4 linked regions of the Caenorhabditis elegans genome follow. The protein of the gene in region 4 purifies or fractionates together with the protein of the main gene of each other region. This does not show direct contact. Each region holds a gene or a part of one and is shown on either strand. Other genes may lie near its edges.

Evidence for each region.
Region 1: the proteins of D2023.4 (region 4) and droe-4 fractionate together in Caenorhabditis elegans (co-fractionation; one large-scale study listed by BioGRID). This does not show direct contact.
Region 2: the proteins of D2023.4 (region 4) and bcat-1 fractionate together in Caenorhabditis elegans (co-fractionation; one large-scale study listed by BioGRID). This does not show direct contact.
Region 3: the proteins of D2023.4 (region 4) and usip-1 fractionate together in Caenorhabditis elegans (co-fractionation; one large-scale study listed by BioGRID). This does not show direct contact.

What each region holds. Positions count from the first base shown.
Region 1 is NC_003283.11:13,989,358-13,996,556, reverse strand, and holds droe-4 (dietary restriction over expressed), read right to left. Parts: upstream 3,902-7,199; 5' UTR 3,796-3,901; coding exon 3,460-3,795; intron 3,394-3,459; coding exon 3,253-3,393; 3' UTR 3,081-3,252; downstream 1-3,080. Other genes in the region: ric-7 (CRAL-TRIO domain-containing protein), read left to right, coding at 538-850, 1,298-1,453, 5,677-5,775, 6,701-6,895.
Region 2 is NC_003284.9:12,873,210-12,882,137, reverse strand, and holds bcat-1 (Branched-chain-amino-acid aminotransferase, cytosolic), read right to left. Parts: upstream 4,659-8,928; 5' UTR 4,645-4,658; coding exon 4,507-4,644; intron 4,461-4,506; coding exon 4,272-4,460; intron 4,049-4,271; exon of another isoform or gene 3,916-4,048; intron 3,653-3,915; coding exon 3,521-3,652; intron 3,300-3,520; coding exon 3,180-3,299; intron 3,128-3,179; coding exon 2,501-3,127; intron 2,435-2,500; coding exon 2,393-2,434; 3' UTR 1,810-2,392; downstream 1-1,809. Other genes in the region: gpc-1 (Guanine nucleotide-binding protein subunit gamma), read left to right, coding at 443-548. UniProt on the Caenorhabditis elegans protein: Catalyzes the first reaction in the catabolism of the essential branched chain amino acids leucine, isoleucine, and valine.
Region 3 is NC_003283.11:12,181,001-12,190,099, forward strand, and holds usip-1 (U6 snRNA-specific terminal uridylyltransferase), read right to left. Parts: upstream 3,195-9,099; 5' UTR 3,176-3,194; coding exon 3,026-3,175; intron 2,973-3,025; coding exon 2,847-2,972; intron 2,799-2,846; coding exon 2,523-2,798; intron 2,465-2,522; coding exon 2,378-2,464; intron 2,332-2,377; coding exon 2,149-2,331; intron 2,107-2,148; coding exon 1,942-2,106; intron 1,896-1,941; coding exon 1,648-1,895; intron 1,599-1,647; coding exon 1,451-1,598; intron 1,405-1,450; coding exon 1,147-1,404; intron 1,093-1,146; coding exon 745-1,092; 3' UTR 501-744; downstream 1-500. Other genes in the region: elpc-3 (Elongator complex protein 3), read right to left, coding at 1-246, 291-410; srd-4 (G protein-coupled receptor), read left to right, coding at 3,949-4,136, 4,345-4,846, 4,892-5,245; ZK863.8 (UPAR/Ly6 domain-containing protein), read right to left, coding at 5,591-5,722, 5,822-5,938, 6,273-6,395. UniProt on the Caenorhabditis elegans protein: Acts as a specific terminal uridylyltransferase for U6 snRNA. Responsible for the addition of UTP at the 3' end of U6 snRNA which stabilizes U6 snRNA. Does not have activity towards modified uridine containing 3'-monophosphorylation or 2'-O-methylation.
Region 4 is NC_003283.11:11,822,317-11,829,515, reverse strand, and holds D2023.4 (Thialysine N-epsilon-acetyltransferase), read left to right. Parts: upstream 1-3,753; 5' UTR 3,754-3,796; coding exon 3,797-3,862; intron 3,863-3,911; coding exon 3,912-3,999; intron 4,000-4,040; coding exon 4,041-4,117; intron 4,118-4,165; coding exon 4,166-4,417; 3' UTR 4,418-4,483; downstream 4,484-7,199. Other genes in the region: D2023.6 (ABC1 atypical kinase-like domain-containing protein), read right to left, coding at 302-454, 565-846, 894-1,694, 1,743-1,892, 1,945-2,055, 2,107-2,148; Putative thiosulfate sulfurtransferase mpst-1, read left to right, coding at 2,454-2,635, 2,681-3,282, 3,329-3,531; pyc-1 (Pyruvate carboxylase 1), read left to right, coding at 7,164-7,199. UniProt on the Caenorhabditis elegans protein: Catalyzes the N-acetylation of the amino acid thialysine (S-(2-aminoethyl)-L-cysteine), a L-lysine analog with the 4-methylene group substituted with a sulfur. Substrate specificity: thialysine > O-(2-aminoethyl)-L-serine > S-(2-aminoethyl)-D,L-homocysteine.

The sequences.
Region 1 (7,199 bases), 2.2 Mb from region 4:
CAAATTTAATTTTAAAAAATTTATAAAACTAATTTTTGTACCCCAAAAAATGATGCTCTTGGTGTTATTATGATAAAAACCACGTCATATACTAGATTAGAACTTTTTTCCTGTTTTGAACAAGGCGAATGAATAGAAAAGTAGATCCCCATCCCGAATTGGATTATGATTATGCTGATTCATTCTCTTCTTTTTTTGCAGAAAAAAAAGTAATAACTGCGTCATGTTTTCCGTTCCAGAAAATAACAGGAAGATGACATTTTTGCAGAAAGAGCTCAAAAGTTGGAATGAAGCACCGAAAGTTTTTTTTGGAAATCCCACTATTGTCTATTTCAGTGAATCAGGAGAATTCGTCACTTGAAAAATAATAATTATTATAACATGAAAAATCTTAAAAATCACGCATATAAAGGTTTCAGAATAAAATTTTTATAATCTGAAAATGTGAAAATGACAAATTTTTCAAGTTTCAAACTGTGCACTATTAGAAACATCCGAAAATTTCAAAGCTGATCATTAAAATTGACATTTTTTCAGATTATACGTTCTCCAGGAATCCGATAACATGTCAATTGTAGCTCCGTCGTGTGCTTCACTGGAATGGTGTGATGATATTGATCGTAACGGACCGAGTCGTATTGGATTCGATGAAGAAGGATCATCACCACAAAGACTTCGACGAGCAAACCTTGATTGGGATCTTGAATCAGAAGTTGCCGTTCAACGAGCCCTGTCAATTGCTTCTTCATCTGTAACGCGGGAAATTGAGCCAAAGTTTGCTCCGAAAATGTCGAGAGATTTGATGGTGATGGCTTGTGAAATTTTTCAGCCATATTCACCACCATTTAGGGTGAGAACTTTCAGAAAAACTTCTTAAGTATGGGGTTATTCATGTGATGTCTAAAAATGTAAAGTAATGTTTTATTGAATTAAAACAAATTTTTTTTGACACAATTAAAGACAATGGCCAAAAATGCAAAAAAATGAATACTTTTTTAAATAGTTTTTTACACACAAAAATAGCCCTCTTAAAAATTACGGATTTGATTTTTTTTAAAAACCAATATCTATTTTGTAAGTCCATTTTACCTCGAAAAGGTTTTTTTGCTCGTCTGGTTACTTTCTCCAACTTTGTGCAAAATGGAATTCTAATTAATTTTAAATGGTGAAAATGTGAATGTGCTTTAATCGATTAAAAAAAACATTCACAATACATCATCAAAATTGTTGAGAATTTGAAAATCCTTCAAGTTTTTTCAAAAAAAAAAAAAATTACACCATTTCAAAGTTATTACAGGACCTCCAAACCATCTATCATAAGCGTCGTCTGAAACGAGTCGCCGTTCCGAGTGTCACCGAATCAAATGAATCATGTGTTTCTCTATTCATGCGATCGGCTCTTTATCACAAATGTTCACTTCTTCGCGACGCCACGTGGTCGATTATTGAAAAGGTGAGCAATTTCACAAAAATGCCAAAAAAATTTCCGCATTTGAAAGTACCCCCGTGTGCTTAAAAAATGGAATGAAATTTCAAGAATAACAAGATAAAATGAACAAAGCACCCATGCTCTTTTGATTAAAAATGGGTCCCCATCGTTTTTTGAAAATTCAATTTTTCTTCCAATGACACATCCACCGGATTTCTCAATTAATTACGTGCGTTATTGTCGTTATTGAAGCCAGTTGTCGAACAAAAAAGAAAATAAAAAGCGGATTAAAGTCGTCACGATTTGACTTCGGTACGAATTGTTTTTTTTTCTAAAAATGAGAATACATTTGTTTTTCGAAATTTTCAGTGAATCATTCATAGAGTACTACTGTAATATTTTGTTCTAGAGAATCTAACCACTTTATGTGATTTTTCATGCTCTTTGAAGTTTGTTTGAAAACCTTTAAGTTCGCAGATTTTTACATTTGAATCCTCCGATGCCAAGAAACCCCGCGATTATTGAAGAAAGCTGTTTTCAGCTCAAGAAATGACAGAAAATCTAGAATAGCTTCTTATCCCATTTGGATGATTGGAATATCACGATCTGGTATCAAATACCCAAACAATAATAAAAGATTATAGAACATTTAGGATATTTTTAGTTTTTTCTTGCGTTTCACCACCCACCACACCTTTGACGTGCTTCTTGAATAATATCTTGAAAAGTGCAAGTTGGCTCCGCCAGACAAGGTTTCAGATGAGAAGCATCATTGCACAATATCTAGAAGCTTCGTCCCAATTAGAAGATGTGTCTGACGTATTGAATTCTGCTGAAAAGTCAATAATGTCAGCTCTGATGATTTCGACGTCTTGGTTATCATTAACTCGTCTGCTAAAGTTCAGAATCACTAGACCGGTTAACCTGAATGTTATAAATGGAATAAGCGAGGATTCGTGCTCATTCCCATATTATCATTAAAATGCAAATTGAATGCCACTAGTTTTGCAGGGGAAATAATTTATGTGTATCCATTGCTCATTGCCAGATTGATCATTCAGATGCATCGAAGAATTTGTGTTCGATTACTCTCATCAGCAAGATCTCATTAATTTTGCAGAATAACCTATGTTGCGTTGTATGTTCTTCGTTTTTAGCTTTTCGCTTTTTGGCAAGAAGAGCCCGTGACGTAAACAAGACCTCACACGAAGAATACTTTATGAGTTGTATGGGTGATGTTGGACGCGCACGGCGATCAACTCTTCAGGGCTCATTTATTTACTGTTTAAAAGTTTGAAAACCAAAGTTAGACAGTTGGAATGATCTAGAATAATGAATAGCTTCTTTGGTCTCTATACGTCACACATATATTTCATTTTTTGGTGGATCTACAAATGGAATAATCTAATCGGATTAAGAATGGAAAGCAATAATGGATGTCAGTTAATCCGGCATTTATACAATCAAGATGAATGGGTATAATCAGAAGATTTACCTACGTCGAAGGAGCCTCTTCATGATATCTGAAAATAGTCGGCTAACTTATAGTTGGGAGAGTATGTATACCATAGTCTTTGTTCACTTTTTCTTTCAAATATTCGTAAGCAATCGATCATTTGAAGATTCTGGGATTATGGAACAACTCAGAATACTGCAACGTTTCTCATCTTTATTCAGTTCGTTTGTTCAATTATCAGAAATGGTCATTATCACGGGTTCAAGGAAGAAGAAAATCAGGAATTATTCAAAAATGGGGATTATAGGAAAAGAAGACTGGCGACATCCCGACGAATAGCATATTATTGGACGAAAGGATTCAGGAATTAGTAGAAGACTTCTGGCATCGGGAGCTTATTGAAATCGAGGAAGGTTGTAAATCCTTTTGGTAGATTGCAACCGTCTCTTTTGCACAAACAACGTAGGCTGACCTGAGATGGATGGTTTGCAGCGTGGAATTGGAATGCCTGAAGTGATTTTATATAAGAAACCGATTCCTCCAATTATATTAAGCCTGATAATATTGAACCTACCTCTTGTAGACAAACGTTGATCACAGCGTGTCCTGGGATTGGATTTCCGTACATGGCCAAGATGTTGGTGTAATCATCGGAATCCATTTGAACTCCATTGACGTAGTACTTGTTGTAGTCCTTTGGGTCTGGCATGTAGCTACACAACTCGTAGATCGGCTCGCTCATCGTGTATCCTTTTGATGGATTGTTGACATCAATCGGCTCCCAGCACCGAATGCTCTTTGTGAGTTGATCGTGAGCATCTTGAACGGTGTTCTTAGCAGTTGAACGAACACTGTAACCCGAGGCCAGGACGAGTGAAGAGATGAGAATAACAGTTGGAGTGTTCAACATGTCGACCGTTTCAGTGAGATCGAAAAAAAGAGATCGGCAGATGTCCGAGTGACTCGAAGTAGTGATTAGCCCTACTGCCAACTCTGTTTATATGATGAAGCTGAAATGGGCGGAGTCAGTTTTTTAGTAACGAAAGGCGGGCTTTGAACAGAGCTGGAAAATAGGAAAAAGGAGGTGGAAAAGAAAAGCTGAAGATCAGGAGGTGTTTTTTAGAAACATGTGACAGATACGGGTGATAATGTTAAGATAAATGGTCAGCTCATGTTTTGATTAAGTTAAAAGTACATAAGGATCAAGGGAAGAATGCCAAGTTATGTCATATAGATAGTAAGGTTTTCAGAATGAGGAGATCGGAAAAAAATAACACGGATATCCCTTTATTCACTAATTGGGGTTTTTGACGTGTACTTATTTCACTAGGGCTGTACAAATCGGCGTCCGGTCGTCCGATTTTGACACCACCGGACGCACTGCGTCCGGTTTTGGGGTAGGTTTCCACGGCGGCCGACAATTTCCGAGTTTCGCCACTCACTATACTTAATCAGCAGTTTTATAGTGAGTGGCGAAACTCGGAAATTGTCGGCCGTCGTGGATAGCTACCCCCAACCGGACGCATGTGCGTCCGGTTCGGACGACCGGACGTCCGGTTGTACAGCCCTATATTTCACCGTACCAAACAGGGCGCCATTTGAGATCATTCTACACAGTGCGATCTTCCCTACTGTTGATCAGAACTCTTTTTGACTCAGCGATTCGGTGTTCTTTTGCCTCTTGACGTGAATGATTTCAGTTAGCCTCTACTAATTAGTTATCCGCATCGCTACCAGCACCAAAAATATTTCTGAACTCTTCTGTTTTGTGAGCCACAACGTTGACTCATTATTTGAACGACCAAATTTTGGAGTTAAAATTTTTTTAAAGACAATCTGCACGTTTAGTGATTGATCTACCACGCCTTATGAGGTGATCATTTGAATGTTTGCCAGTAGCTTTAAAGAGACATTTGATAAAGTATAGAAGATCAACAAATCGTTTTGTACTTTTAAATATGTCTCACTTCAACGAATGTAACTTTTCTAGTCGGCATTCCCATCCGAAAAAAACCGAAAAGTCCGAGCTCCCGGGCGTCACTGTTAATCTCAATTTAATCCTAGTGAATCTTAAAGTGTCCAGGAACCACACAAAATGAGGAATCCAATTTTCAGCGTGAAAATTTCAAATTTTTGAGAGGTGTGGAAGTGGCACATTTGCGTGTGAAGAACGCTTCTGAAAATGATTGAATGGTCACGAAGATGCTCAAAAAGAAATTTAAAAAAATGGCAAAAGTACATCTTGTGCCCTTTGCACTTTTCACCCAATTTCTTGTTCTGATTTCATTATTGACGTCAATAAAGGAAGAAGGACCCTTGTCAAATGACCCTATATCTGGTATCATTCTGACTACATTTTGTTGCAGATAGATCTGACCTGTGAAAAAAGTGGAAGTATTTAATATTCTGTCTTGTGATTTTTGAGCTCAAAACCCCAAGTGTCCACAGTTTCAGAAACTGTCGACTAGCTGGAAAAAGGAAGAATAATGCCTGTGAATAATAATAATGATTATTATAATACGTCAAACGAGACAGTTTCCTTTCAAATCAACATGTCTACGATATGAGAATAGGAAATTGAATCACTTTATAGGATTACAGTAAAATCCGATGTATGAGAGGAGAACAACAAAACAAAAACCACGCAAAAACTGGCTTAAAGTAGACTTATTCTTATGGGAGGCAAATTTTATAAACCCGCGCGATTTGGTAGATTACTTTCTAAACAAAATCTCCGAGTCCAGAAATTATTTTTTTTGGAGATTAAAACTAATATATGTTTATTTTCCAGCGATTCGACAATGCAGTCCAAGAATGCGATTTTATGAATAAATGGCCAGGCTACAGTCCGTCTTCAATGCGAAAAGATCTGAAAAAGTTGCATGATTTGGTGAGTTTCAACAGAAATGCTTCGACCACACTACATTACTCAACATCACTACAATTTTCCCACGTTTACAAAAAATTTACTAGAAAATTTGGTCTTTCGTGTGATTCTTCTACAAACTATAAGTGTGACTTGTTTCAAAGAACGACAACTTTTTCTTTGAGTTTTTAGTTTGAAATGTCATGTATCCCGGTTACCGGAAATGCTAAAGTTATCAAATTTCATGAAATTCAATTATAAAAATTTGGTTTAATTTAATGTCCGGTGGCATTTTAATAAACTTTTGATAGAATAGTTTAGTTAAATTACATTTAAAAAATGAATAAGTAGAAGTATAGATAAAAATACCATTGAAACATACTAAACATGCTAAAAAAATTTCCATAAAATTTCAATCTGAAAGTTTTTCAGTTCATTTTTCTCAGATTTTGGGTAGAATTTCCCCAAAACCGGGCTTTTCAGATTTTTGATTTCCACTCAAATCTGCCAAAAAAATTCTTATAAAACAAACACATTGTTTGCATTGTTTGCATGCATTGTTTTTTTTCTTGTATACATTGTTTTCTAAAATGTTGGGGAAAAATTGATTTTCGTCGATTTAATTTTCAAAATCTGAAATAAAGGTCGCTGGCACTGAACTTTTTTAATGTCGTGATTTCCGACGATTTTCTACGCTCAGCATGGCTTCTTTGTTTCCGGTAGTTCACTTTTTCTTTTTTAGAACAATAGTTTAATTATTCCTAGAAAAAGAATGAATTTCTACGAAAACAAGCCATAGTTCAAATTGATGTTCAGTGATGTTAGATGCTGAAGGACTATGCCTACGCAAACGCAACTTTATAAAATCTGCAATGATCTGACCAATCTTACGATTACTTTCAAATCATACATCGACACCATAATTCCATTCATTTTCCAAATGTTTCAGGCATCAACTGATTCGTTATCCGGACTTGAAGAAGATCACCATAAAGCCTACCAAGTGTTGATGGTTCTCGAAGCGAAGAGAGCGTATGACGAACGACTTGCTGGACTTTTCTGTGAAGATTGGTTCAATGTGGACAGTCCTGCAGACATTTTCAAGATTCTCGTTGACCGAGGAGATGACGATTTACCTCCAAAGGTATAGATATGGAATTTGGAATATTTGAAATGCGCGCAGACTAATTTGAGCGGTTAAGCCGATGTTCGCCGACGAATTTAGAGGATTTTGAGAGCTTGATAATATTTTAGATTAATTTGCAAGTTTGCCTCTGTTGAAATAAGAAAGTTACCGTATGTTACCGTATGGGACAAGTAAATTTCGTGTTACTTCCCAAGACTCAAAATTCCCCCTAACGGCACGTGGTGTCAGGTTGTCCCATTACGATTTGATCTACAAGGGAATTTTCCCAAAAAAAGTAACGTTAGCACGCTCTGAACCATGC
Region 2 (8,928 bases), on a different chromosome or scaffold from region 4:
ATGGCATAATTTGCTCCAGTTCTTTCATCAAACTGTGGCCAGGTTCATTAACTGTGGCAAGCACTAAACTGTAGAAATAATGAATGTCGATATTTTATTGGTAGGCATTCTTTCAACGATTTTCTTTTTTTTTTTGGAAAATCAATAACTTACTCGAAAAATCTTCAAGGCAATCGAAAACAACGCATAACTAAAATTAGGTTACACAAAAGTATAGTTTTGAAATACTTCACAATTTTAGTGATATTTAGAGTACATAATGTCGTCACAACCATTTCGACAGAACCGACAGAACGACAAAATTGTTTCAGATGTTTGAATAATTTAAAAACGAATCGAATTTTTGTAACCATCGAAAATTACAAGAATATATATGACAATGTGGAATATCAAATAGCAAAAGTGAAATATTTACTTATATGCAATCAAACTATAATTTCAGACTGCTCGATTTTTGCGAGAAGAACAAGACCAACGACATGCTGGTCTCCGGGCCAACCGATCAGCACAATCCATTCCAAGAGAAGAAAAGCTGTTCAGTACTCTAAATTGATATCGCGCATTCAAATTTCATTATCTACCGGCATTTCAAGACACGTCCCGATTTTTCACAATTCACGTTACTGTCCATCATTTCTCTATTCATTATTGCTCTATTGTTTTAGCTACACGTTTTTGAACTCTCAGTCCACAAGAAAATCAACACGTTCACCAAATCTCAATTTCCGATCTCAAATCTAACTTGCAATCTTCTTGTTTTTGGAATTGTCTTCTGTAGCTATCTGCGCTGATCACTTCGATCTAGCCAATTGGGTTTTTTTAGCATTGGCTTCACAAAAGACTGTCATTCTGAAATTTTTCAGTAGAATCGCACTCTTTTGTGAAGTTAAAGCTTTTTCCCGCAAAAATATACTTCTTAATTATTTTTTTTTCTACTTTCCTATGCATCTATAAACAATAATTTAAAACATCAGACGTTATTATGAAAGGACTTGGAAATGAATTTTTGAATCATATAAAAAAGTAAAAAATCAAAATGTTATAAAAAATCAAAAAAATGAATAACCCATGATTTTTAGAAACGGCTATTTACACGAGACAAACGGTCAAGATTATTGTGAGAATGTTCATTATTTGGAAAAAACGTATAAAAATGTTTGTATGTGAAAAATGCAACCAAAAATTTCATTTTTTCATAATTTTAATTGACAGGAAAATCGAAGGTAGTCTTTTTTCATCCATACTGTTCAGAATTGCCAGGTCTGTTAGAAAACACTAGGCAGAGTAGACTAGTTTTTACGAATGTTTTTAAAATAGTTTGATAAATGAAATATAAAGACTCCTTTTGATTTTACCGTCATCAAAAATTTTGAAAAAAAAACAGCTTCTGGACAAATATTGCAAATATTAAAAATAATTATTTTTTAGAAACTCGTGCATGTGGCACTACGATTTTCTAACATTTTTTATGATTATGGAAAATGGAAAACAAAATCTCAGTTTTTGCCACTATTTTGGAATTCATCGATCAAAATAAATTCCATCGAATTTTATGGTCTTCTTTTATTCCAACTATTACAATTCAAACATTGTAGAATTTGAATACGCTACATTCTCAAAGATTGGCAAATTCTCACCAGTTGCCACTTTTTGAAATAAAAATTTTTTAAATCAAACACAAAGTCGCTAAATATCTAATATAATATTTTTTGTAAGTGAAAGTTAGTAGTTTTCAACAAAACATTGTTTGAAAACTGATATCGTTCTTTATAGTTGTCTCTAAAAAATTTAAAAAATAGAAAAAAGTATAAAGTTTTCAACTTTTATTAAAAGAAGGTGTTTTGAATCAACAAACATGAAATGCAATCGAATAGCCATTTGAACTAACAACGACTTTCTCATATACATAAAAAAAATTATTCTAGATGATCATATGAGTATTTGACATGGTGAAGTGTAGCAGGAAGCATGATTTATAAACCGGGACACGAGCGCTTTTTGAGGGGGTGGAAGGAAGTTGGGAGGGGGATTGAAGAGAAGAAATTAAAAAAATACCATTTGAAATCGAATCAATAAATGTGTCTATAAAACTAGTTGTAGTTTTAGTGAAGGGGAATAAGGAGGCGAATGATCTAATCAACGCCGAGCTGACTTGTATACGTATTCTGATATGAACTCAGAAAATCGTTAGCTTAGCTCTTCGGAAAAGCTCATATAAGAAATCCAACTTCATAAGTTGTTCCCAGTTGCGTAGAGGAAAAAAAAACAAATTGAGGGGGAAGAGAAAACTCCGAGATTGTTGAACAGAACCCATCGTTAGTATTAAAAATGCAGTATTGAAGGAAGGATATTGAAAAGGTTTTGATGCAGAAGTGGAGTATTATATTGTGTATTAAATGTCGCGCATCCATCCGTCTTTGATAATTCGGCCGTACTGAAATAAAAAATTATTAGTTGAAATTTATTTTCAATAGGAGATAGCTGTCTTAAACAAGCTTACCTGAATGTCATTAATTGTGTTGTAGAATTTTTGCATAACTCCAAATTTGCTGGACATGGTTGGGATGTGAAGCTCCTCGTACTCATCGGTAACCTTGTTGTGGTAGAGAATCTTTCCGACTGGTGAAACAACGCAAGCAGTTCCTGATCCGAACATCTCGTAGAGTCTCTTCTCTGACAAAGCTTTCTTGACTTCTTCCATGTTCAGTGTGCGTTCAGTGACCTTGTACTCTCCCCATTCTCTCCCAAGCTCAAGAAGTGAGTCTCTGGTGACTCCTGGAAGGATGAGTCCACGATGAAGTGGTGGCGTGATCAATTCCATGTCGCCTTCCTCGTTCTTCCAGAACAAGAAAATGTTCATTGTTCCGACCTCTGTAAGATCTTCGTTCTCTCCATAAAGCCACAAAACTTGTTGGCAGTTTTTGCTGGCGGCCTCCTTTCCGACCCAGATTGTTGGGGCGTAGTTGCATCCCATCTTGTATGCGCCAACTCCTCCTGGGAAAGCACGGATGAAACGAGAATCAGCGAGCAAGCTGACTGGCTGGAATCCTGTAGAGTAGTAGGCTCCGACTGGTCCAGTGATAACGAACATCTTAGCTTCGGTGGCACATCCCACTCCAAGTGTTGGCTGAAAACAGTTGGTTTTACAGAGGAATTGTTTTTTTTGTGAATCAATTTACATCTGTTCCGATAAGTGTTGGACGCAAATACAATGAGCATACATCTGAATTTGGCACCCATTCTTGATCCAAACGAAGTAATTCGGTAAGTACATTGATCATCTCCTCTGAGTCGAAATCCTGCAATTTTTTGTTCATCTGATGTTTTTTTTTCATTCAGTAGTTTTCATGCGCTCAAGACGCTCAAACTAATTACTTCCCTCTCACATGCTTTCAGGAAAAATTGCACAAAAAGATGACTATCACTTAATTAGCTTTTCTCTTTTCTGAGAGCTTCTCCCTAGTTTTTTTCTTGTTTTTTGATATTTTTTCGTATATTTTACAACGCTAAAGTCAATTACCGGAAGTGCAGCACGGAGAGCAGTTCTCTTCATACGAGCCATGTTCATTTCTGGACGGAACATGCGAATCTTGTTGTCAATACCACGGTAGGCCTTCATTCCTTCGAAAAGCTCACTGGCGTAATGAAGAACCTGGAAGCAAAGCAAATGGATTAAAATTGTTAATTAGTTCCTAGTTGTTTTTTGTGGTTGTTTGATGTAACAAAACACAAAATCGTCGGTGATCTTTAGCTTCAAGATTGATAATTTCCAACAAGTGTCATGCTGTCATGTCAATCTCATTTTTTGGCTTCTGGTCGCTGAGAAAAGCTCAGATTCAACTGATTTTTTTCTAGTTTCGAGTTTTGTCCCCTACAAAAGTTTCAAAAGTTTCACATTTCTTCGTCTTTCTATCCCATATCAGATTTCACTGATCACAGAGAAGAGGTCACAGAGGTGAAAAAGACAGGTGACGGTGATTACATCATCTTTGAAAATCTTCAAAAGTTATCGCCCGCACAACGGATAGAAATGTGTGGCAGACCGGCGGGTAACAAAAAAAATGCAAAGCGAACTGCCACGTGCCGTTTATTAAAATGATTGACATTATTTTATGACCTTTTCTTGAATTTTTAATTTTTTTGTTCATGCTAATGCTTATCATTCAATAACGCTTATCACTAAAAAATCACACTTCAGGAACTAGTGCAAATATTCAATATTACCGTTGACCACTTATGGCGCCATTTTAAATTGATGGACAGTAACTTACTTTTGCTCCGGGATGAATTTTGAGCTCTCCAATTGGCTCAATCTTTGGATGATGCCATCCTCTCTCGGCATCCCAATCGCATGTCATCATGTAATCAGCGTATGTGTGTCCGAATTTAAGCTTTGTTGGGTCCAATGGCTTGGTCTTCAGTTGTGTTGGACCGGCGAGTTGAATTTCAAGGTCTCTGTGCTAAAAGCATTAACAGTTTAATCAATATTCAGACTATAAAACTAACATAGAAAGTCTTCTTTCTATCGTATTCCTTGTGAATTTCCTCTCTTGGTACTGTCTCCAATCTGGCTGCGGAGGCCATAAGCCTTGATCCGACAAGGTTGAAGGTGCGTGGAGCAACTCGCGACAGGATTGCTGGCATTATTGTGTGTATTTCTGGAACAGAAAATATTATTAAAGTTGATTCAGCGACCGTGGGAAATGAGAAAAGTGGACGATTGATAGCATGGAAATGATAATGATACGGGTGTTAATAAGAAACAAGATTAGTAAAGAAGGCCCAGGCAGGAAGTTGAGGCTTCACGTGTGGAAAAGGGGACAGGACACAATGTCCAGCTGCTATGCCGATGGAGGCAGTACATTTGGACTGGCGAACTGGCGCCATATATCAATAGAGTGTGAAGAAGTAGGAGGAGTAGAAAAAGGGGGCTGTGTGGCGGTGGTTTGTAGGCGCAAGGGACGTTGCCTTAGTAGAAAACATCTATCGCTCTCTATGTTTCTCGGTGCTTCTCGTCTATCTGAGCGATGGACGCTACGAGTTCAACAAATATTGAAAGAGGAGCAGAGAAATGAAGAAGCGGGGTAGAAAGCAGCAAATGGGCCCCCGTGGTGGCGGGCGCACGTGGGGAGAGCAGCGCGAACAAATGATGAGATGTTGTGAGGAGTGTGGCCGATGGGAGGGTAACGGCGGGGCAGTGTTGAGGGGCGGGAAGGCGTCGGCGACCGACCGATCGACCGCGGCCTCCCGTCAGGACGAGACCCCGCCCATCTCTTCCTGATCGGAAGACGAAAGCTTTTGACCCGGAGAAAGGCAAAAACAATTGGCAAAAAAAAGATAGTTGGGCTCTAGTCGCTACACGTCATTGGATTCTAGAGTTTCAGACCCACCTACTGGCTTAGACAAGAAAGTGTTGCAGGAAAAGAAGACTTCGTGTTTAATACGTAAAGAGTGTTATGTCTAAAAGTTGAAGGCTTTTTCACTGTACATTCTACTTCATCATTTCAAACTTTTTGTTTTTGAGCCTCGAAAGTATTGTAGAAAGTTTACGCATTTTTCAAAATTTCCTGCCTGAAACGTATCTCTCATCTGTCTTTTGAAAAATTTATATGACTCGGTAAATGAGAAAACTGACCCCTTTTTCACAGAACAAAAAAGTCTGAACCCCTTTCCTCTGACAAAAAGCATCAGATAGAAAGTGGAAAGACAAAACGAGGCTCTTGAAAACCTTGAGGTTTGTTAAAGCTCAAACAAAACCTTTCCGTCATCACAGTTTTAGCAGACCTGTGCTCGTAAAAAAACTTAGATCAAACAAACTGTGGCCACGTGAGCCATTTTTTTCTATTTGGACAGTTGAAGCTCTCAGCTGCTAAATGGGCTGATGAAGAAAGTAGCGAAAACTACAAATCTCGTAACAATTATATTTTAGGCCTCTAACCAAATATCTAATGTTCTTACAAGAGATAAGATTTTGTGGTAGTTATTTTGTGCTACAGAATCTTATCAAATGCTCGAACTATCTGAATTGAGTAGAGATGATTTGGCAGTAATGGAGTTCGATGAGTTTTAAATAAAAATTGAATCTGGCTTTCGAAATTCCTTATCAATGTCCTATTTTGTGATTAATAAACATCAAAGTCGGTCACTTCCGAGTTCAAAACCACTTTTTCGTCCCGTAAGTTTGTATTTTTAGTACCCGCAGGAAATGACGAGTTTGAAGACAATATCACCACGAGGATGACTGCACAATTCGACCGCAACCACGAGCTCCGCGTGGTTGCTAGTCAATGGTTGATGATCACACGAGATGGCTAGACGAATAACAAAACGAAACAGAGACCGTGAGAATGTTGTCCTTTCAATGCTGGGTGGCAGTGTGATGTGATAGCAGTTAAATGTTTCAACACCGTAATTCAGAGCAATGGTCACAACCAAACATCTTGCGGGAAAAGAGATTACATCATGTATGGTAACATCCTTGCAAGTAGAAGAGGCGAGAATTGGGGAGAGTGATAAATTTCACATGAAAAAAAAAACAGTTTTTCTTGTAGAAAAAGGTGAGAGATATGAAATTGTTCTGGTAGAAAAAAGGCAATTGTTGAAAAGTTTTTATATCAGTACTTTTGATCATAAGTTAAATACAACTTACACAATCTATCAAAATCTAAAAGTCTAATTTATTGAATTATTGGTTGTTCTTTGCTGTGGAATACTGTTAGAGACAACACAGAAAATTTATATTAAAAAAGCTTTATCTTCCAAAACCAACTTTTTCCCAATGTCAATCTTTGATAATAAAAGTCACTTGGAACACGGAAATATGTTATCGCTTCAACGAAAAGCGAAGGAGGAGAAGATGTTATCATTGGTTAGAGGCGAAAAAATCGTATAGTTGGAGCGACTCAATCGAATGACCAGCACTGGTCACTCGGGGTTGCAGTGATCGAGCCAACTCTTTTGCCTTTTGATGAAGTGTGTAACTGAGAGAGAAGGATAGATCAAGATGAGATCATTAAAAATGATATGGTTAGAAAAAAAACTTGGCAAAGGGGGGAAAAGAAGATTTAATATCACCTAACTTAGAAAATGGAAAGTGAATGTAGACGTCTCTCAGCTCACTTTCACTTCTTTTCCCTCACTTTTTAGAGCCTTTTTACAGTTCGCCCAACTACCAACCGATATAAGGAAAAAAGACACGATGGCAATTCGACCAATGGCAAGACGAGTGATGAATCTTCTAAATTATATGAGGACTAGTCAAGTACTTAGGTTCCCATCTAGACAATTGTCCACTATCACTGACATCAGCTGGGCGAGAACCACATAGCGGCAATCAAAACAAAATGATGTGATGATCGGAGTTTTTTGAGAAAATCGGAACAAGATTGGTCTGCGCCACTGGATAAGAATAATCAAAGATTAATTACTAAGAGTACTGTATGATCCAAAAAAAAAATGATTTCGAAATAAAAGTTTAATTTAACTTAGAGAGGTCAGGTCAAAGGGTAGTGATGTGACGTATTGTAGAAGTAATAAAAAAAGTGCTAAGTGTTTTATAGCACATTAATGGTAGAACATTAAGTATTTCTTTGAAAATCAGCTCAAAATTCAACAATCTTAAAAAGATAAAGCAGTAGAGACAACCGATTACGAATAACTACTATAAAGTATTAAAAACATGGTTTTATCATCCCGATGGCCTGATATTCGCCTAGATTTTGGAAATTCATGACATTGAGAATTACTACACCGGTTCACAAAACTTTTCGCAGCAGTAACCAATTAAAAAATATTGAAAAGATAGAATAACCTGAAAAAAAACAGATCAAAAATTTACAATATATAAAGAAAATAAACGGGTGCGCAAATTTAGTTCTTGGCGAACCGCGCGGAAATGACAAAATACGACGATGACTAAGACAGTCACGTGGTCTTTCTTTTGTCAAGATAAGAATATTCATAATACACATACACTGCGGCAAAATTCAGTGTCTATGTGGGCAATATAAACGTCATCATCAAAATAACAATTGATCTGTACAGCAGAGGCTGGGTGCAGTGTGCACCCCATCCGAGCACACTACACATGTTTATGAACCAATGCATGGAGATATTGTTCGCGCACTCGGGTGGTCTTATTAACAACAATAACACAAACATCTCCACCTATTGTCAGTGTGTGTCTTGTGAATGTCTTTCGTAGTCTGTAGGCGATACGATAAGACGCAAAAGTTGAAAGCTGGTGAAAGATGACGAAAAAACTTTTAAAGATAGATCACATGATCTTGAAGAGTTGACGAGCAACAGGTGAAAAAAGAATGTGCTTCGGTTTCCGCTTTCTCCCTTCGTGGAATGTGTGTTTCAAAAGAAAGGCAATAAAAAATGAGTTGGAGGGAAAGAAGATAGGTTTTGAGAGTTTTGAAAGTTTGATCTTCACTTGTCAACTTCTCATACTCAATATTAACTTCAGCTGTTTAAAAAAAAAGAACTTTCTCTCTTTTGTTAAGAGGAACAACAAAAAAGCTAGTGTTTGCTCTTAAAGCGAAAATAGGAATAAAAAGAAGACAATCAGGGATTTTAACAAATATTCACTTCCTTTGCTGAATTATTCTTAAAAGTGGAGAGCAGTCAGTGAGAAAATGATTTAAACCTATTCCTATAAGGCTTATATCATAATAAAAAATTTGTATGTTTCGAGTCAAAAAGTCACATGTTCAAGCCTCTAGAAGATTGGAATACAAACATTTTAAATACCGTATATTCTCTATTAGTGCTGCATCTCCAGTAATACTGCAGTCTCTAATAGTGCTGCATTCAATAAGCTCCTGGAAATTAGTGCTGCATGTAGCATTAATAGAGAATATAGAGTATGATTGAAACAAAAAAAGCTGGAAAAACTGTTTTGATCGATGACGTTCTGACAAATAT
Region 3 (9,099 bases), 360 kb from region 4:
ACTTTGTGTTGAATACTCGAAATCAGAATCTGGCCCACCGGGACAATAGACACAAATGTTTCCAGTGAAATTGATGTGAGGACAACGATGTGGTTTGCTCATCACTGCTACAACAGCAATTCCAGAAGCAGTTCGAACTGGTTTTGCCTTGAGTTTTGGAAGAAGGCTGTCTTTGTAATCGGACGGAACTCCAGCGATAATGTCAACGAGTTTCGGTTGAAAACTCAGTCCATTCTTTTGAGCAACCTGAAAATATTTATTGAAATGTGTTTTACCGCCTAACCACATACGATGCATTTCAGCCGATTCAAGTTGACATCCTTTTTTTGATTGTGAGCTTCAATAAGAAGCTTGACAATTTCATTTATTGTTTGTGCCAGTAGTGCTCTTTGTGAACCCTTCTGATCCATCTGAATACAGTTTTGATACATTTCCTATTCAAATTGATGTTTTAGATATAAATTGGAATATTAACCGACAATGAACTCAAAAATCGCTTTCAAGATGACCAGTGTATTTCAAACTTAGAAATTTCGATATACATAAATAGAACACAGACCGAGAAGTGATCATGAAAGTTGGGTGTTGAATATAATAAAGCGGAAAAATTATTTGTTGAGATTCAATGGAAAATGGTCACTGGGTGACGTGTCAGAAAAATACCGGAATAAATATGAAATAAAATATATGGTGGATCATACATACAAATCGAATTCATAGAACACTTATACATTGAGAACATGATTATGGCCAAGTTGGGGCTGCAATTGGAATCCTGGAAATGGTTTGAACGCCATTCTTCTCGAGGTCATCGTAGTTATTGTTAATGAATTGATCAATCAAAAAGTGGATTGCGTCGCGAACTTCGGAAACTTGACCACGCATTATATCGATGCATGCCAACCTAATTCTGGTGCCAGGAACAGTGCTCATCGAGATACGCAACTCCGCAATATCTTCTTCGTAATCGTACTTGTCACTGCACATAACATCAATCTGGAGAGGCGTCAAATCGTGACGAGAGTTTTTCAAAGCGCGTTTCGTATTGCGACGTCCAACCCAAGCTCTTGAAGTTACAAGGAAAATGGCACCCTGAAATTAATAGTAGTTGTAAACGTCACATTCTTTCTATTCTATAGAACTAACCGTTGGAGTACATAAATCAACAACACTGGGTCCTTGCTCATTCGGACAGACATTAAAGCGAAGAACTCTAGTAAGAAGGAGGAAAAGATCACTCGAGGTTATCACCACGGCTGGAAGTTGTACTGACAAGTACTGGTGCTCGGCTCCATCAGTTACTCTAGTTGATATACTGATTTTTGGCTCTCTGCTCTTCATAAGCATAGTAGCCATCGTGTTGGTTTCCAGAAGATAGTTGATGTGAAAATGATTTTGTTTCAACTGAAAATATAACTTTTAATCCATAAACAATCAAAATAATGCTTACAATGAAAAGAGCGTTCCGAATAAGACCATTTAGTAGTTTGACCGCGTCTTCTGTTACTTTTGCCGAAATATTATGAGTAATATCCATGGGATCCATCAACATCAACGGAGATTCTTCAACGCCTCCGTGCGCACTTGAGAGTGTTTTTCTAAAAAAAAATATACAAATTAGTTGTGAGAAATTAGTTTTTAACTTACTTTTGCATCGCTTTCTTCCCGTAAATCGCTTTGTTCGTAAAATCAAAGTTGGCATAGTATTTGAAAAGCTCTCGGAAAAACTTGCAATAATCGCCGAACAGAGTGTCAAAGTTGTATTCATTGACTCGAGAATCTCGCTTTGCTTGAGGATTCACATGAACCTTGTTGGTTGCTGCTTGAACAAAATGAATAACGAGCTGATTGATGATGTAAGAGTTCAGCTTTGTCTTGACTTCAAGCTTCTCTTCCTAAAATAATGAAGTTTAAGAACTGCCTAATTCAATATATAATTACCGGATAGTCACCCGATAGCAACTTATTTGATTTTGCCCAGTGTACGATGAACATCATTGCATTTTTCATTCTACTTCCCTTCGACTTGTCTTTTACGATGAATTCATGCAACAAGCTCGCCTTCTCAACACTGATTTGATTGTGAACTGATAGATCGTATGACACCTGAAATGAATGAATTATCAATGTTTGAAAGCGTCAACATACATTCATTCCTTCCACTTCGATATTTTTGAAGACTATGATTGGAGTGCGTGCAGGTAAGAAACGCATCTCGAATTTAGTTTTGAATGCACTGTTCTCGTTGAAGCACCGGTAGAGAATTTTGATAATTTCCTCTTGTGGGTATGTCTCAAGCTCCGATTTGGTTAGTGGATGAGTGATGAGACACTGTAATTGTATATTGTTTCAGGACAATTTACAGTAATTTTTGTACCTTTGGATTTGCCACAACTTCGTTCAATGGTCTTACATTTGTAGAAACGCGTTGACCTGGAGCGCTGACTGATTCCACGTTAATGTCCTAAAAACATTATTGTTTCTTAATAAAATAAAATAAAATTATTTTTCTAACAACTTACAATGTCTGAGTAACCATTTCGCCGCACCGGTGATGCAAAAGAGCCGAACATCTCACAAGCAGAATTTTGAATGAGCTCAGAAACCCCTTGTTCAATGAAGGAAAATCCATCTTCGAGAATTTTTAAGCGTTCAGGAAGTTCTTGACAGATAGCCATTGTCAACACTTCCAAAAGCTCGTCGTTATTGAAGTGCGGTTGCGAAGTTTTCATGAAATCAATGGCATCTTGAAGTCTGAATCCGTTCAAGCCTAGAAGGGGAGTGAACACGATTTTCGTCTGAAAATAAAAGGAATTGTATACAATCAGCTAAAAATAATTATTTACATTGTTGATTGCAAATCCTTTAGCGATGGAATCGTGGCAAATCCTGTTGGCTTCATCTATTGATTCCATTTGCAATATCATAAACTGATCTTGATCTTCAGGTGTTGGAGAGTATCCTATTTTCTCCTAAACGGTTTAATTTCAAATGCTTGTTTTCACAGCATAACAATATTTTTTACCTTACAACCAAGTTTATACTCAACCGACTCCACGAAGACAACGACAGCAATTGCAGAAGGAACCATAGCTGTCGTATCATTTCGATTCCAACGAGCAACAACGAATTGACGACTATCAAACGTTTCAACCAGTTGCAAGTTTGAAGACATTATCGCATAACTGAAATATCTGGAAAAATATATAATTTTAGGTAAACAAAGAGGATGGAGAATGGAATCATGCGTTGCCATGGAATCGAATACACTAGGGAATCTTCGTCGAAAATTCGAGCAAAACAATTTTCATTATAATAAACAACACATTGCATTTTGTTATAGGTTACAAATTAATTGGAACGTGCGCATTCAGGGATTTAAATTTTGCGTTTATCAGAATAATAATAAAAAAAGAGTAACAAATTTTAAATAGATTCGCGCAATAAAAAAGTTTTTCGAAAAATGACTGAAAAACTGAGTTGATAAACTACACGCGCATCGTTATATCGGAGTGTCGTAAGTGGCGGATTTTCAAATAAATTTTTATTGACAAATTTTAGTTGTGGACCTAGTACTAGTATGTATTTGTCTAGTAAGTTTTCTCTGCATTGCCTTTCTAAAGGGAAAAAGTTGTTTTTAAAAAAAATTATTAAATAAATTTTATAAAATTGTCTTAGAAATTATTTGCATTGATTGATCAGAATCCTTCTAATCAACCAAAACTTATGCCTGCTTAAAAATTATAAACATCATTCCATAAACATCGGTCTTTCAAAGATTGAATTTGAATTAATAATATTTTTTATTTGGAATTGAGTTCGTCTACAAACGAAAAAATAAACGGAAATTCGATTCTGATTGCTGGGATTCGAATAAAAGGACAAGCATAACATAAATCGGAAATCGAATTTAGTATATAAATGTAAAAATATCAAAAATGTACAAAGATGTTCCTTTTGGTTATATTTATTCTACACTATGTGCTCGCTTTTCTCGGAATTGTTTTCAATACGATTTTGATTTTTCTAACTTTATTCAGAAGCCCTAAATCTATTGGAACATTTTCTATATTATTGACTGTCAGAGGTGGATCTGATGCACTTGCTTGTTTTTTTGATATTTTCAGTCAATCAAGGTAATTTCCAAATTTTATTTTGCATTTCCTAGCAATGCACCATGTTCTCGATATGCTCTAGTTTCTTCCAATAATGTCAAAATTAAGCAGGGCCGTTTTCATGTTTTCCACGCTTATATATAATTCATGAGATTACACTTTCAAAAAAGAACCCAAATTTTTTCTTTATACTCCAATGGCGAGTTGAGCTATATATAATTAATTTCAGATTAATCCCAAGTGGTACAACACTTGGAATTGCTTCAACTGGACTTTGCAAATATCTCAGTGAATGGTCTTGTTTTCTGGGTTTCAGTCTTCAACTTCATTTTCATTCATATTCTTTTCATCTTCTAATTCTCTGTTTTATATTCCGATGTTATGTTCTTCTGGAAAGATATCCAAAAGCTAAACAGCTTATCATTTTAATTTGCATTATATACTTCCCATCATACTTGCAAGCAATTTTCGTATTCATTGATAACAACAAGCCAGAAGATGTTCGACAACTTATTCAAATTCATCATTCTCAATATAAATTACAAGATTTTGTTATAAATGGACATGCTGATCTTCGAGAATTTCCGTGTTTGTTTTCATATCTTCTAATGCTTATTCCAATTATCCCTGGATATTTGATTATGTATGGGCTCCGCCGAAAAATACACTTCAAGTTACGAAATGCAATTCTCCGTCCGGAAATTCGAGAAAAACATAGACAGCTGACTTGGGTTAGTCTGAAAATGTAAATTATTTTGAAATATGATTTATTGCAGGCACTGACAGTTCAGACTATTGTTCCAATTGCTTTTATATTCTCATCAATTTGTTTCCTACTTGGTCAGCTGAGGATCGTTGAATCTCCAGTTCTTGAAAGTTTCACACTTCTTTTTGCCGTTTTGGTTCCCGTTATCAATCCATTGATTACCGTTACTTTTATCAAACCGTATCGAGAATCTGTCATGAGAGCAGTTGGAATTGATCCTAAAATTTTGATTTTCATGTCACGAGAATGTTCTGTTGCACCTGGTGATACAAATTCTTCAATGTTTGGTAGTTTTGATAATTCATCAGTTGCATCAGTTACATCAAAATTCACAATTACATTGGAGAAAGGCACATTTGACTGAATATTCCAATTAAACTTTTTAAAAAGTATTTTTCATCCACCTTGTGAAAACGACTCATTTGATCTCAGTGATGATCATGTTTTCTATTTTATAAAAATTTTATTGGATGAACTTATTATTTACATTTGATTTAAACAATTATAAGGACACTTGACACATGAATTCGATTTTGATTATTACTGTTTGATGTTCGTTCTCCGGGAAGAAATGAGCGGAATGAGAAGAAATTGGGTCATTGGTTTTAGATTATGGATACAGTAATAGAGAGCCAGATGAGCACCTGAGCACAAGTTGAAAATTGAGGAAAGAGTATTTTAAAATTCAAAGACCAAAAATGAAAGAAATTTAATTTTTGAAGAAATAAACGGCAAACAATGTCATAATAGAGACAGTAAGTTTAACGAGTGATGATGAATTGCAAAGATCTCCACGGCAACAGCAGGCCTTATCGGTGTTAGTTCCAACGCATCCATTTTGCTGAAATAATTAGTAATTTGATAAATATGGTTTTCTTTCTCAAAATTAGAATTTCTCTGAGCCAAGAGATGAATTCCACAGGTAAAAATAAAAACTTACAATGCAAAGGTTAGAGGATCCACAGGCTCTTCCTGAGACGAAAGTTTTGTCATTGTTAAAATCTCTGGATTCCAAATAGCTTTTGTAACAATATTGAGCGTCAGCTGGGCAGTCGACCTATAAATATTGGCATGAATTATTTGTTTTGATGAGCTGGAAGTTTCATTTTTATTTTCAAGCCAAGATGTCCACTTTTGGCACGCAGGTATGTCAGCAGGCGTCCGTGCCTGCATATCACCTTGAGCTCTAGCGAGTTTATACAGTGATAATTTAGATTAATAACTTTTTTTCATCTTTAAAACCGGATAAAGTTTGAAGCTAGTGGCGTTCAAATAATGAAAAATGTTCTTACTAATGGGCTATCATAAGTAAATTCGTGTTTTTTCAACTACTTCCAGCAATATGGATAATTTGACTATTAACTCATTGCTTATCTCGTTTAAAATCTTACCCATGTCTTCATTGGATTCTTCATCAAATTGGTGCTTGTGTAATCATGGCACCGAAGTGTATCGGCATATGGGAAAATGCAGAAAAGAGCAGAAATTGTGAAAATAGCAAACGACGAGGTCATGGTTATAATCGACAACGAACTGACTGTAATGTAAAAGTAAAATAAAAGATTCAGAGGGGTGGGATTATTGGGTAGGTCGTTGACTTCTCCACCTCTTTTCGTTTGTTTGTTTGCGCAGCCTGTAAATTGTAAACTTGTAGGTAGAGAAGCAAAGGTAGAGGAGGAAAAGAAAATAGAAAAAGAGCGAAATATTTAGAGAATCTCCGCAATCTGCCAAAAGGTGTGAAAAGTAGAGAACAAGGCGAATAATGTTGATCTTCTCAATTATTTGCGTATTACTCATTGGTTGTCAAGTGTACCGGGTCATTTTGGCATTTTTCATCGGACTTTCAAGAACTTTAAAGGGAAGTATCAAGAAAAAACGAAATATACAAAAAGATGGATGATGAGTAAACAAGGCATTTGGGCAAGAACTTTGAGACAAGCAAAGAGTCTAAAAAGTTGCGAAACAATTGTTTAGTGAACGTTGTAGATCTGTTAGAAGTGTTTTTGTAATAAATATTTAGCTTCTTGATCATATTTGCGGATTTTTAAAAATTCAAAAACAAACTTGCCAAATAACTATTTGTTGCAAGTTACGTAGATAAAAGTAGTAATGACCTCGTTGGCAGCAACTTTTCATTTATAACTTGGCATTGAGCTATCTAAAAATAGAGTTGGCACACTTCTTTAGTTTTGTTATTTGCTAAATCAAAAGCTTATTCTGACTCAAATTATATCAACTTCATTTTAATCAGAGACTGGAATCTCACTTACATCCAATTAGATCAGATGCAACATTGTATATGTACGATGCGTTTTTATCGAAAACACCAGTAAAGAATTTCTGATATTGGAAGTAATATTGATAAAGACTGAGAAGTCAAGGTTTGAAATCTCGTCTGAAGCGAATATGTCAAAATTGTTTAAATTTTTGAAAACTGGAATTAAAAATTCACACAACAACTTTTTTAAAACTTTCAAATGTCTTGAATAAAATCTTAAAACCTGCAAAAAATGATGACAAAACTATTTTGAGTTTGCATTCAATAGTTTCAATGAGTTGTTTTTCACAAGATTACAGTTGTATTTACAATCAATCAAATGCCACGTAATGGATGAAAAATTTAGAAGGTCAAGAAAAGATCATTGTAAGTTCATATCAACATTTACTTTTTTGGCACATTTTTTTGTTTGCCAATCCCAATGAAAAACCGTGTCATGCTTGGATATGAAATTGAAAAGAGACTTGGCATTGGAAAAACTACTGCTCTTCAAATTGTTTATTTCAAATTTCGTCATTTTTCTGGATCTTTTTTTTTGTTTTTTTCACGAGTAAAAAACAAACAATTCGGAGAAAAGTTCAGACAACAGTCTACTATTTTTGTGATCAAATTTTGTAGATTTTATTTATTTGTTCAATTATTTGTAGACCAAGTAAAATGTTTTCCAGATACCAATTGTACATGTATTCCTAATCACATTAGAAGGTTTTCTATCTTTTCCCCTAAGCCACAAAAATAGATCAGTGCTATCACGAGAGAACAAACAAAATCAGCCGCCGATATATATTGAATTTGATTTATCTGCGATGGTGCTCCCAAACATTTACCATCGACTTTGTCAGGTTGTCAATAAAACTGTTTTAATATGAAAGTAACTGAAGAAAAACGAGAGAAAAAGAGCACATGAAATTTGGATTCGCGCGTGCTCACGCGTTGAGCAACAATTTTTTGTTTGCTGATATTCTTGAAGAAAATGAAAAAGTAAGAACACAAGTTTGTTCTGTTAAATAGACATTTGGACAAAACCTGATTAAAAATACATTGTCAAAAAGACAAGTGGCGCGCAAATTTTGATCTTTCATTAATGTATAGACTTTAGCAAGTATATAGACTCTAGCTTGAAATTGCTGAAACATTGTACAATGATAAAATTGAACTGTAAAAACTGACAATGGGAAATGGTTTCCAAAATTTTCAGCGGTGAATATCGGTAAAAATCTTCATTATTTTTTTACATTTTTTTTTCAGAAAATATAGAGTTCAATTTTTTAAACTGCAATGATCAAAAGTTACATCTCTGTAATTAATATGAAAATGCTTAACTAATGTCTGTTGCTTTTTCACAAAGAGATTCGTTCCAGTTTATGTTGTTTTTTTAAGACATATACCGAACAATTTTAAATGTAAGGTATCGACAGTTTGATCAAATTTTGGTAAGTGTCAGTTTGATTTTTTGAATAAACTTCTAAACGAAACTGCCTTTCTCAAGCGAAACTTTATCAAGCAAATGACCAAAAGGAGAGTAATTAGACAGTTTTAACGGTTCAATATTAAAACGTAAAAATTTTCAAAAAAAAGTGAGATGAGGATGAGGGAAAAGTTGAAAAGTTCCTATCCGTTAGTAATTCGATACTTTAACTTTTCTACTAAACGAAAAAATGAGAAGATGTTTGGTGTATTCTGCTTTCAAAAATTGTGTTGTAAGCTTTCGGGTAAAGTAAAAGTAAAGTGGGTTATGTATAATTCATCTCTAAAAAAGAGGTTAAATTTACAATGAACACCAGAATTTTTATATTGATTGTGCACCGTTCGGATTCTGAAAATTAAAGAAATTGACCGAATATTTTTAGAGAAAATATGATTCAGTTGTAGTTGTTTTGTCAAATAGTCAAGTAAATGATACAAATCCAGAAAACTCCAATTACCAACGAACAAGATAT
Region 4 (7,199 bases):
TACCACAGACAACTGGTCATTTCTCTTGATAAGGGAGATAGGATGTGGTATACAAGATAGATATATCCTAATTCCTTATCACTCACCACCGAAAGCCATATGTTCTTTCACATTCCTAATGTACTGCATGAATAATATCTGTGAACAGTTTAAAAAAAGGTTTATTTAATAAAAAGGCACTGTTTTTTATTTCATGACCCGGGGAGAGGTGAGCAAAAATGGAAATGCAATAAATCCTACACTAATTAAATCACAGACTACAATCGAGGTGGTAAAAATCAAGAATCAAAAAACTATAGAACTAGTGATAGTTGATAAAACGAAGGTAATATTGATAGATACAAAGCTTCATAAGCGACCAATACATGTGGAATCCAATTTTGAATTTTCCGAGTAGACTATCTGAACGGCGAATGGCAAGATCGTGCGAACTTCGGATGACGCATCGGGACATCTGAAATACATATTTTTAGAGTCTCGATAAAAACGGCAGAAAGACCAATAGTCTAATACGTAGATCTTTTTGAGAATAACAGCAAAGACTCCAGAAAGTTTTAAACTTACTTCAATATGTCCATCACTTGATCCAAAAACTCCTAATTTATGCTCGATGTTTCTCATCAAATCATTCGTTTTTAAAATAAGAAGCATTTCTCGTGGCATTCGTGCTAGTACTTCACTGATTTGAGGTATCAACGACGAAGCATACATACGAAGCTCATCTTTTTCACTTTCATTCATTTTCGACTTTCCAATTCCACCTGTGACCGACTTCCAAGAACGTCGAGTGACCATGCATGCAAATAGACCGTAGAGTTCCCCAACTCCCATTTGACTTGCAACTTTCTGAAAATATTAGCTTTCACTTAATTATATATTTTAAAATAACTAACGCGGATCTCTTGGAGATCAGGCTTCAGAATTGCCAGCCAAAGATCGGAATACAGTTTACGAATGTGATCACTGATATTCAAGTACAAACCATGATCCAATAGCACAATTTCATATTTTCCATTTCCTAGGCTGTTGATCAGTACATTTCCAGGGTGCGGATCCGAGTGCAAATATCCTTGTAGAAAGATCATTTCAGAAATAGTTTTTCCTATTTTCATACAAACATCATGTGGATCAATATTATTCTTTTTTAGGTATTCCACATCATCAACATGTGCTCCTTCACAAAATTCCATGGTGAGTACTCTCGTTGTAGTCAAATCGTATTTAATCTTTGGAATTCGTAGAAATTTCAGGTGCTTGAAACGTTGAGCTGCTTCATCGGCATTTTTCGCTTCGTGCAGAAAATCAAGTTCATTTGGAAGATTCTTCTTTATTTCGTCCACTAGCCACATAAGACGGAATTCCGGAAAGACTGCATCGGCAACTTTTACTAAGAATTCCATAGTGTTAACATCGGTCCTGCTATTCTTGTAAACTCGTTTATGCTGAACTTTAACTGCAACCGTCTCCCCAGATTCTTTTAGCTTTGCTTTATGAACTTGTGCCAGGCTTGCCGCTCCAACTGGTTTTTCGGAAAATTCCGAAAATAGGTCGCCGACTTTTGCGTTTAATTCTGACTCCACGACGTAAATGACATCCTCCTTGGATGCTTGTGGAGCTTGCGAGGTGAGAATGCTTAATGTTTGAGTGTACTCTGGTGGTATCAAATATTCCATTCCCGAAATGTGTTGTCCAACCTATATTTTCATTTATTTCAATAGAAATTTGAAGTATAATTCAGCTACCTTGATGAAAACACCTCCGTTGACACAGGCCAACTCCAAAAGATGCTCCGCACTTCGCTGGTGACATTTTTTGATTGCATCATCGTATTCAGAAGATGGCTCTGGAAGTCCACGCAATGAAGTTTTGTAGTCAATTACAATTTTCCCTACCTGAAAATTCAGATCGAAATTTTTTGTAAACAGTTTAGTTTAAACAACTTACGGTTGAAGCAGCTCTCCCAAATCTCAGCAGTCCTAATTGTCTTAAGTCTTCAACGGAATCTACCGTGTACGCTGTATAGCCTGCTCCAGCTCCAGTTCCCACAAATAAGACCTTGAAAACGTTTTTAATTAATACGATGCTTTGAAAACTTAAACAACTTACTTTTGTGAGTGGCTTAAACGCCAGTATTTTTCTAATAATCATGACACCGGGCTGAAAATAACTGAAAATGATGGAAATTCATCTCAAAAAATATCGACGCAAGTGCGCTCCATTGATTGCAGAGAGAGTATGTGTATTCTGGAGGTCAGAGACATTTTTGAAAACAGTTTTTATTTTGCAAAACAGTTTTGAAATCAAAGTTCTTGCTGTTTTCAGAATGTTCTTCTTTGCCTTTTTTTCATTTTTAAGTAATTTTTTTCTCAGTAAAAATATAAATCTCTTTAAACGGTTTATGTTCAGTGTCTTTTCGTAAAATATTTTAAAAATTATTAACAATTACAGTAATTATGAGTCTCAAAAAAATAATCGATGTAAAATCAGTTAACACTCTTCTGAAAAAAGGAATTATCAATAAAGAAGGAGTGCGGATCATTGATTGCTCATTTGCTGTGGCGCCGCGTCCAGATTGGAAAGAATTCGAACAAGAGGGTTATGGCGATTTCAAGAATCTCATGGCTGAGCCCAGCCCGTATGTTTATTCAAATTTTAATTTAAAAAAAAACAAAATTTGAAGGTCCCGGAACTTGTACCTGGCTGGACACATTCCGGAAGCTGTGCATGTGGACCTGGACATTGCCACATATCCATCTCGTTATCAAAGATTCCAACAATACCGCGCGGATCTTTTCGAAGAATATGCTCAAATGGTTGGATTGAACAATAAAGAACATTTCATCTTTTACGGAAAAGGAGCATTTGGTGGAATGCTTTTTGCTTCAAAGGTTGCTTGGATTTTCAAATCCTATGGCCATGAAAACATTTCTCTTGTCGATGGAGGATTTGATTCATGGAAAAGAAATGGATTTGAAGTATCTACAGAACTCGTAAAATTGCCTGCAGGAAACTTTAAAGCTGAAGATAATTTCAAAAAATATGTCATCACATTCCAAGAACTCGAAGCTAAAAAAGACGGCGAAGATAAACAGTTTATCGAAAAAACATCAGAAATTAACTTTCTGGACAGCAGAATTCGTGGTCAATTCGATGGAACTCAAGAGACCGGTCTTGATCCACATCTTGTAAACGGCACTAGAATCGCTGGTTTCAAAAATCTACCTAGTGCAGAGCTTCTTGTGAAAGGCGGAAATTTGAAAAGTGAAGAAGAAATCAAGTCATGTAAAAGATAATGAGTTTTCCGATAATCTCAACTTTTCTAATTTAGGGCTCACTCAAAACGGATATGTTGAAAATCAACCGACAATCACATCCTGTAATGCTGGAATTCAAGCAGCACTTTTGGCGTACGTAATCGATGCTGTGAAGCCATCACAGAATCCTCCCCGCGTATATAATGGATCCTTAAAAGAGATGGAGCTTCGAGCACCGAAGAAAATTTCGGAGGGACCACAGCATTTGCCTCATTAATGTTTAGTTTTGTAGGATTTTTCTTTTATTCAATTTTCATAGATAGATATTGTTGTTATTTTGTTTCTTACTTCATAAAATTTTGGAATAATTTTATTCATTTTTCCTTTTAAATGGTTACTTGACTACCATTCAGACTATTTAGTTGAAAAATCTCGAACATCAGAAACCACTGATATCGAAAAATGATTTTTCATCTTCATTGTGTGATAAGAATTTCAGTTCATAACTTTTGAAAATTGTTCTTCACTTTTATCGTTAAAGTATGAAAAACTTCGAAATTGTCACCGTTACCCCGGATCATGCCGAACAACTCATTTCAATGATTCATGTAGGTTTATTTCTTCTTCTTTATTTGAAAAGAAAATAAACATTTGCAGGAGCTCGCGGAGTTTGAAAAAATGAAGAGCAGCGTGGTGAATACTGCCGAGAAATTGAGAAAAGATATTGAAAACAAGGCAGTGCATGGTACGATTTTGATTTTTAATTGATCATAAATCGAAATTTAGGATTCATTGCATTTATCGGAGAGGAGCCAGCTGGAATGAACCTTTTTTACTATGCATATTCAACATGGGTTGGGCAGGTATTTATGAAACAGTACTGAAATTCAACCAAAAAATCATCATTTCAGTATCTTCACATGGAAGATCTCTACATTCGACCTCAGTTCCGACGAATGGGACTAGCAAGAACTCTGTGGAAGAAGCTGGCTGAGTTGGCTCGAGACAAAGGAATTGTTCGTCTCGAATGGGCAGTTCTCGATTGGAACAAAAATGCGATTGCTCTGTACGACACTGTTGATTATGTAAATTTGACAAAGAGCGAAGGATGGTTCACTTTTCGAATGGACGGTGCGGCGATAAATAAATTTGCTGATGAATAGATATGTTACTTTTATTGGTATAGAACTTTTGAAATGTTCTGCAATTTAAATAAAGTTATTTATTATAGATTTTTTGAATTTTTAAATTTTTATTTTTACCGGATATTCTCAACCCGTGTGAATTATTTCAACCTCCCAATATTATCGATATTATCTTCTAATTTCCCTAAAATTAAAATTGTGTGAGTCGCCCACATTTTTTGGCAATTTACAGATTGACCTTTTCTCCTTTTCTGTATGACACTTCCTATCGCGTACTAGAGATTTCTGTGCTTTTGATCTTATCGATTTTGATCGGATTACCAGTTCAAAATTGTTTTACCACACTGATTACTTCTGGTTTTTTGATCCTTCATAGCAAAGTTTCAGCACGATCTATATTTGTTTCTTCTCATTTTGACACTCAGAACTTTCTGGGTTTAATTGATAAGCGAGAGGAACAGTACCCAAATTTTAAGAAAATCTATGCCACCTATGTTAGAGTTATCTATTATAAATTTAAACAAGTTGCCATATCCAGAAAATTATCATAATATCCTTTTATGGAATCTTCTGAAAATTTAAATTATTTAATGTTCTAATAATTTAATATAAAACAAAATTTAAAAAGATCAGTATCGAACACAATTTTACAAACTTAATTGTGATGAAAATTTACTTTTTATCAACTACTTTTATATCGTATCTATAAAGTTTTCATAAATTAACATTTGTTCTATGTACCCTTTGATCTTTTCACTTTTGACCTCTAATCTCAATGAGACATCAATTATTCAAAATGTGCACGTATTTTCTTTACCCCTCCTCTCTTTTCATACAGCAGTTCTGAGTACGTTCATGGTGCATCGTTTTCTAAACTCAACAGTCGTGTTTCTTTCTCACAAGTCTTTTTTCCTCTACGTTTACGAGTCTCTTATGCCAACCTCGTGATCGCCAGTGATTGCCGAAAGTGCGAAGAACGATCAAAATTTGAAACTTATCGAAGCTGGTTCTGTGATGTTTTGATTAGTACGAAATAAGTCATGTCATGATAGATCGAAAATTCATAGATTCTGAGATTTTCGATTTTCAGCGATAATCTAGCTATCAGATAAAATTTATGTAAACAATTTTCACATAGTCTTTCAGTTTCCAACCCTGAATTTCTAATTTTATCATTGAAATTCTTTCGTTAAATGGAATCCAAATCTTGTTTATTGGCCAGTTTAATTTTATTAAATGTGTTTCATTGATCATTAAATATCATTATGTTGATCTTTAAAGTGAACTTAATTAAATCATTTTTATTTTCAGCCCTTTACGAAAATTAACTATCCCACTACGACCAAAAACAGTTTTGAACATTTTGACATTTTGAAAAATCGAAGGTTCTGAAGTTTAAATCATTTATCCTCCTCCTCTGCGTCTCAGTTTTTGTGTTCTAGTGTCCACCCGAGTCGACTGATAAGACAAAATGACACAAACACCGTCTCTCGGCTATCAGTTTGTTGTCGCCGCAAATTCATAGCCATGGTCAAAGTGTTGATCTAGTTCTCTTTGAATCTAGATTTTTTTCAAATTTTTAACTTGATTGTGATACTCTAAGACATTTTATATCTTTAAATCCGCAAAATTAAAAAAAATTATTATAGTGCGTCCATAGTCTGCGGAAAACGGGAATTTCCCGCGTGCGGAAGCGTCCATAGTCTGCGGAAAAACCGGAGTTCCTCGCTTTTTTTTTCCTCAAAATTCAAAAAGTAGGCGTGGCCAACCAATCAGCTGTTGTTTCTTGTTTTCCCATTGCTCAGCTTAAAATTTTACAGCCTCTAATTGGTTGAACACGCCCACTATTTTGAAATTGACCAATAACAAAGCGAGAAACTCCTTGTTTTTTTCCGCAGACTATGGACGCTTCCGCACGCGGGAATTCCCCGTTTTCCGCAGACTATGGACGCACCATTAACACTAATCCCCGAGATATCAAAAAAAAAAACTAACGATAGAACAGCAAAAAATATTGGAATATTTGGCCGTGCGGAATAGATATTTAATATGGCATGCTCATAAACCATTCTAAAAACTAATTTTCTAATTTTACAAAAATCCAAAACTGAATGTTGAACGTTCTGTGGCTTCTGTAGTTTCTGTAGTTTCTGATAACTTCCTTCTTTGTTTACTTTTATTTTTTTCAATTTTCCTTATTTTCTCTAGGTTCTTCGTCTGGTCTTGGGTATGCCACGTGGTTCTTCTTTCACATCTCATTTCACCGAAAAAACCTAGAAAATCGAAAAACAAAATATTTTATTTTCTTCCCTTCTCCTATCATTCTATCAATGTTATCAGTACTGTTGTTATTCTTCTCTACAAATATCACTAGGTGGTTCTATGGAGAATGAACAATGATTTTTAAATCAATTAATGTATCTTCATACATACACTCACTCTCATGTGGTGTGACCTCTTGGTCTTTTCAAAATCTCTATTGCTCTGCGTACGTGACCTTTCACATTTTTCACCGTTCTAATTTATCACGTGGTCAACGTGGATACTTCTAAAAATCTCAAATAATGTCCGAATTCCGAAGAAGTTTACCACACTTCGATTCGTTCTTGAGCTTTCTGCTCTCACACAGTAGAAGGTACACCAAAGTAATGTTTCTGTGTCTCTTCGATGTTCACACTATCATTATTGAATAATCTTCATTGGTTGTATTCACCGAATAGGTTCACCGTCTCAAAACTATGCATGTTTCAGATAAACGACAACGATGCGGTTCTCCCGCATCCCACCGATCTTCGCTAAT